2 linked regions of the Caenorhabditis elegans genome follow. The protein of the gene in region 2 interacts with the protein of the main gene of each other region in a biochemical or structural test. Each region holds a gene or a part of one and is shown on either strand. Other genes may lie near its edges.

Region 1 (3,209 bases), on a different chromosome or scaffold from region 2:
GCACCGGTGTCGGTTTACGGAACTCAATTGTGAATCGGTAAAATAATAAGAGAACAAAAAAACAAAACGTGACGAAAAAAAAGAAAATTGAACAATGCTGTCACAATTCTGCTGTCACAATAATTCGAATAGAAATTCGTTTCGAAAATCGAGTTCTCGTAAATCGACACCAGTACCACAGTAATCGTTGTAAAGTTACTGTAGTTTTCAATACGAGATATTTTGTTCGTCAAATATGTTGCACAATACGCATTCTACGAATTTAGTGTTCCTTTAATATTACAGGAATGATAAGAAGTGATTATACATTATAAGATACAATTTTTACATATGTATTCTCTGTCCTACGATACTTGTTTTCCAGTCTCTTTATGTTCACACGAGCATTGCCAAGTTCATTTGAAATGTGTTGGATTAAGTTGATGACTATGATCAAGATAGTTGCACAGTAATGAACATCCCGTGAAAAATCAGAAAATTTCAAATTAAAGAATGTCTTTCAAATAATGTGCAAAGTCAGGATAAAATGCAAACATTTATTGTACTATGGCAATTTTGGAATGGTTAGTACTACATTACATTATTGAGCATGCATACACGGTAGTTATTATTGAATTATCGACTGCGACGATGACGGATCTTTCTTGGCTTTCAGGCGAGCTATCTGAAAATGAAATTGATGAGATTAGTTGGCTAGCCCGCGTGATTTCAATCAACGATAATAATGAGAGCTGTAACATGATTTAAAACATGATTAAAACAGGATTGTAGATCTGAATTATTAGGGATTCTAAGAGCGATTGACTAAATGTTTCAACAGAAGTATGAGCATGAGGGAGGGAGTTTCTAAAAATTATTCTCAATCAACTTCAACATAACTATATTACAGGAACGCAATATCCTGGGAATGCTATTGCGCAATATATTTAACGCGCAAAATATTTCGTTGCGAAAACTACAGTAACTCTTTAAATGACTACTGTGGCGCTCGTGTCGATTTACGGACTCGATGTTCGGAATAAATTGAAATCAGTTTTTTATCGAGAAAATATAAACATTAATCAAAAAGTGAGAAAATAATACAAAAAGGAAAATGGAGTATCGCTGTCACTATTCGAAAATAAACTCATTTCGAAAACTGAGCGCGTAAATCGACTTAAGCTCTACAGTATTAATATAAAGAACACGGTAGTTTTCGCTACGAGATATTTTGCGCGGCAAATACGTTGCGCAATACGCATTATCAGAATTTTTTGTTACCCCAATATTGCATAAATAAGAAATATTAACTAACCTCTTCTCTGAGTTTTGCATTTTTTGATTCTTGTTCGGCAACATCAACTGACAACGTTGCACTATCGGATTGGCCTTTTTCGATCGACTCAATTGCTTTTTTCAGAATGACAGCTCTCGATGCTTGAACCCTTTCCCCGTTGGCATCAGGGACTACTTCTCTCAGACTTGTGTACATATCCTTGATATTATCACGTCTTCGTCGTTCAAGAGCGTTGTGCTGTTCTCGAGCATGCCGCTTCGGATCAAACGGCCCGCTGTGTTCTCCGGAACCACAGTGACCTGTCTGGTCATCTTCGAGGTCACTCATGTCAGACATCTGAGGTTTATTTTCCATTAGGGAAGTGAACATGTAAATAATATTTAATTTGAGATATAGAAAAAGGCTCATGAGAACCATGTAAAATAACTTTACACGTAAATTGTGTTTTAATAGCATATTCATTATCACAGAGATCTAATAAATAATATGTAGGTAATATATACATAAAACTTAAATCGAAGATTGATATGAAAACAGACCATGTAACAATAGATCAAACCAAAAAATACGAATAAAACTTCTTAACACTGGGATAAGAAATTTGAAGATTCACGAGTATGTAGTAAAAGTGAAGACTAGAGAAATAAAAAAATTGAATATGAGAAAATAGAATGGTGGGAAAGGGAAACTTAGACAAACAATTGGCCACACGTTTGGAAGAATCTTATCTATACATGTAATTAACCTCAAAACCGGCGTAGAAATGTATAAAAAGCACTGGTGTAAAGTATAGGCACAAAATTATCTTCTCCTATTTCGTAGGTTATAGCGTTGTCTGTTGTTTTGAATTGGACGTGGTTGTTCCACTTGAACTCTTTCTTGCTCGGGAACAGGAGGAGTGACAGATTTACGTGATGGGAATGTAACGAAGCGAGCTGTGCTGAATATGATGAGGGTGAATCCGGAAAATAGTTCGAGAGGCGATGTGATTAAATAGAGGAATGCTGGCACAAGTCCGTAAACGAGTAATCGCAAAGTAATCTGTCGATTTCCGAGATTTGAAACAAGACCGAAGAGATAGAGTCCGCCGGCGTAAAATGCAGGTTGATATTGCAGTTGGTACACGATAAGAGAATCCGTCGAGAACCACGGGAAGCCGACCAGTTTGAGAATATATGGGATCAATGTCGGGAGAATCAGAAGAACTGCCCGTGGATGATGACGCTGAAAGAAAAAACAATATTAAAAAAGTTGTATTACTTTTCCAGGTTACTAACATATGCGAGGAGAATAATCAAAACAATTGATCCCTCATTTCTTGCCATGATTGTGATTGCTGATCCAACCAGGTACAGGCCATTCATTAACTTGTCATCGCGGAGCGCCAAATGTCCTGTTTTGACAAATCCAATTCTTGACACAATAAGCCAGTCAACGACAAAGCATATCGCTCTCCAACCCAGTGCCATGAAATATCCCAAAGCCATGGGGAGTGTAGTGGTGTCCGTGTAGTCTGTACTTCCGTGAATCACAAAAAATAAGGCAACAAGGTTGGTCAACAAAACAGCCGTCGTACTGTAGAACAGTGTCTCACGAACCAAAATAGCGAAGAATACGCTAATCACAATCATGGTTCCGCCTACTTCATGTAAATGAGAGAACACGATCTGCAAGAAACTATAAATTTCTGAAAAGCATAAATCGAGACACTCACCTCATAAAAACGCCATAACTGCACTGTCATTGGAGGGCTCATTTGAATATCAATACTACAGGGAGCTGTCACATCGAGAACTAAACGAACTTCTTCTTTTTCCAATGCTCGATAAATCCACGTTTCCACTGCACCATCCGACGAGTTTTTGAAATACATCATAGATTCATCATAACGAACTGTGGTCATAGAGTTCACTACAAAATAATATTGTTATAT
Region 2 (3,679 bases):
TTCTTTGAGAAAGGCAGTTTGGAAACGTTTCAAAAAACACTACACTACATTCTAGCATACTTTTGAATACTTCCACGTATGGTGATTCATTTTTCTTCGCAATTTGGATACTCGATGCCAACAAAAGATGAGAAAAAGGTGGAAGGAGCAGTAGCAGATGTTTGAATGACTATTCAATGTACTTCTGAATGCAATGACGGTAGAAACACAAAGAAGATTTGATTTCGTACGAGAAGATGGTCACATTGGAAGAAGAATGAGTACGATTGACGACTATCAAAATAATGTGTGAGACTGTGTGGGTAAAGAGAGCGAGGCTATTTACAACACGATCCACACGCCCGACGATTCTTTTTCACTGATCGGCGACACGTGATCAACATGTGGCTGCGGTTGGGTTCACCCTTTTCTTTTTCCAACTGATGCGATCATCTGACGGAGAAAGATACGGAAGGTGTGCTATCTTTATAAATATAATCTAGACTGAAGATGAAGATAACCATATGATAGTTGCAATGCAAAAATGTTTATTACTTCTATATTAGGTAATAATTAAATTGGCTGATGAGTGCAAGGCGAATGGATTGTGAGAGTGTTGAGAATGAGAATTGGCGGAAGGAGAGCAGATGAGAATTTCAGGCAAAAATGGAAACAATGACACGCAAACGGGGGTAACTTATTGAATCGGTTTCAGGAGAAGAAATGTTCTTCAGAGAAATAACAGTCAAAAGTGGATAGATCATTAAACTTGGAGGTTGATTGGCAAGAACTGCGACACGTCAAATGGGGTAGGTGGAAGATTCATGAGATCAAAAACATTATGAGGGTAGACCAGAGGTCTTGGAAAAGTGATTGGACCCCTTGGGATAAGGCCTTCAGCGTAAAGGTCGATAATTGTTGGCTTATGTGAATCCATTGGTTTGCTTGATGGTGAGTACTCCAGGTAGCAGGGTGAATCGCGAGAAGATGTGGAGGTGAAAGAAGATGCTCGAGATTCGGGTCTGCTTTGTGAAAGCGTTTGGCAAGCTTGGCTAGTTGCTTGAGCAACTTCTTCGTCGGCTTGAAGTTGGGCAAGTTCTGCAACAAGTTCATCCTGTTCGTCTCTTAAATCGTTAAGCTTCTTCATTTGAGCTGCATTGCTGTCTTGCAATTCCTGCAAAAAAAATTAATTAATAATTGAACCCAATTGGAAATAACTATACAATTATTGTTGAAGTTACTTCTCATCCTCTCTCTTTCTTTTTTTTCGGAAGTTGTGGGAGTAGTGGGACTAATTGGAAAACGGGACAGAAAAGAAAGGCACTTTGCATCATCTTCATGAAACGAAACAAGGACTGGCTAGAGTCACGAGACCAGGTGGTAAATAGTGAGAGAAATGAGAGAAAGGATGGTATTGTCACACGACAATGATAACACGCTAGACGCACGTGGATGAAACTTACAATGATGTGATCTCGGGCTCGTGTTAACAGTGCAAGCGTCGTATTTCTGGTGGCATCGCTGACACATGGGACCAACATTTTGAGAGTTTCGAGGCATCCTCGGAGGTTAGCTCGGCGGGTTTTCTCAAGCTCGTTGTGTGCCGTCCGGCTGTGCTTCGAAGATTTTCTAGCTGGTGGGGAGGAGCAGTAGGGTTGAGATGATGTAGAGGCATTGGATGCACACGATGACTGTTTCTTGTCAACTTTTAGTTTTCCACAGAAAAGTGATCGGAGTTCGGACTCTGAAATAAAAACAGTTACTAAGACTATTACGAAATGTCATGTCTTTACCATTTGAAAGATCGAACATAGCTGGTGAGGAAGATCCTGGAGAGGAAGATGTGGAGGTAAGTGCTCCCAGATCTAGGGAAGAAATGTCAAGAGCGCCAATGTCTAAAAGACGTGCGGCGGTGAGAAGATGTCCAAGGTTGAGTTGCTGTTCCATTGCAAACAAGGAATAACAACTGGGGCGTGTTAGAGGGTACGACAAAAAATGGGATGCTTTCTGGCGGGTCGTTTTGCGTCCAGACTGAGGCGCAGGAGAAGTAGGAGGAGGAACGAGGGGTGGGGAGCGTCAACCAACCCGACGTAGGGGAGGGCCCTGGGAGAGACGATATGCAGGGCGGGACACGACATCAGAGAACGAACTAGGAAAGCACCGAAGAGGCGGCAGACGGCGAGAGGTAGTGTGTGTGTATGCACGTGCGCCTCGCATGAACTTGCTGTGGCAAGATAGGTCTCCGATTGCGTCGGGGGTAAACCACATTGCTTTGGGCTGCGCACGCAAACAGCGCAAGACCTCGTTTTCGCCCCTCTTCGCTTCACACAGTCACCTTGGCCCCCAACCGCTTTGCGTCCGCGCGGGACACACGCGGTGGTAGCCTAATATGGAATTTTCTTCTCGATCAGACAGCAAAATCGCAAGATCGGCGATTCTGTTTGCGCGCGGTTTTATTTCCGTCTTGTTTTGCAAAAATGGAGAGAGGTACAAAGAGCAGCAAATATATGATCGGAGATGCGATTAATACCGAACGGGGTCGCGGTATGTCCGCTGCCGCTACCGTCTAAAGTAATTTGCGAGTCGCTAGCGTACTGCCGCCGGAATCGGGGAATACCCACGTGAATTTCCTCACATGCAATGCATTGGATAGGTATTTCCGAACATGTCATTAGGTCTTGTGATTTTGATGTGACGGTTGCAATCCGACAATATTCGCCGGTTACAATTCATCACGTGTCTTCAATTTTGTGAAAGTTGTATTGTCGTGCTTGTCAAGTAGATGACGATATGATGGCTGAAGTCACAGAAGATGTTGTGAACAAATTGTTTTCAAACTCATGTACTGAAATCATATTTTGCGAAAATATTAGAACATTGAGATTGTTATGTTTTTTTTCTAGAAAATGATGTTAAAATCATTGCGATATTGCTAACTGGAGCATGAAGTTGTAATACTAATTCAAGTTCTTATTCTTGCGAAACGTCCTTTGCGGTTCAACATGTGGAATTCCCCAACATTGAGTCACTTCACATTACTGACGCTTACGAAATACTATGATCTTTTCGCTATCCGGACTTCCTGCATCGATGTCTCCAGTTGCAAAAACGCAAAAATAGTTCACGTGAAAGTGGCAAAGGGTCCCGTAACAAAACTATGTACCCGCCGTGATTTTGAAGCCTCACGTGCAGGAGCTTGGCAATTCTGTGTCACACTCTCTCATACACACGGTACTTGTTGCGATTTTCCTGATCGATGAGTACGAGAGAAAATACATTGATCACGAGAAATTGTTGTCGGGCGAAAATAAGAGGAAATGTTTTGTTTATATTGTTTTGTGTACCACGTGTTTTTTCTGGAACACTCCTTTGCCAGAATACTTTGCCCCATTCCTAGATCTTTTGATACCTCCGTTATTGAGCAGGGTTCAAGAAGAGCCATAATTTCTTGGGGAAGCCCTCGTCACACAGCCGAGTACGTGCCAAAGTTTGAAAATACTGGAGCAGCACGCAACTTGCATTCACATATACTTCCAACTTCCCCTTTAATCGAAAAAGGCTCCCGAAAGCTTGCCTCCGTCGTGCTCTGAGAATTCGATCTTTTGACCGCTTCGACTGGCGCGCGTGTATGTGTGTATTGGTTGAGTGTGTCTATATGCGTGCGGGAAAAAGAGAAGTCCAACGGGGCCTCGAGCAAAAA

Evidence for each region. Proteins that work in one complex are often made in the same cells at the same time.
Region 1: the proteins of mdl-1 (region 2) and mxl-1 interact in far-western blotting, tested with the Caenorhabditis elegans proteins (one study listed by BioGRID).

What each region holds. Positions count from the first base shown.
Region 1 is NC_003283.11:11,243,242-11,246,450, reverse strand, and holds mxl-1 (Max-like protein 1), read right to left. Parts: upstream 1,613-3,209; coding exon 1,295-1,612; intron 665-1,294; coding exon 608-664; 3' UTR 525-607; downstream 1-524. Other genes in the region: pgap-1 (GPI inositol-deacylase), read right to left, coding at 2,078-2,500, 2,554-2,943, 2,991-3,187. UniProt on the Caenorhabditis elegans protein: Transcriptional regulator which binds to the E box motif 5'-CACGTG-3', when in a heterodimeric complex with mdl-1.
Region 2 is NC_003284.9:6,740,733-6,744,411, reverse strand, and holds mdl-1 (Mad-like protein 1), read right to left. Parts: upstream 2,062-3,679; 5' UTR 1,927-2,061; coding exon 1,773-1,926; intron 1,724-1,772; coding exon 1,443-1,723; intron 1,154-1,442; coding exon 743-1,153; 3' UTR 513-742; downstream 1-512. UniProt on the Caenorhabditis elegans protein: Transcriptional regulator which binds to the E box motif 5'-CACGTG-3', when in a heterodimeric complex with mxl-1.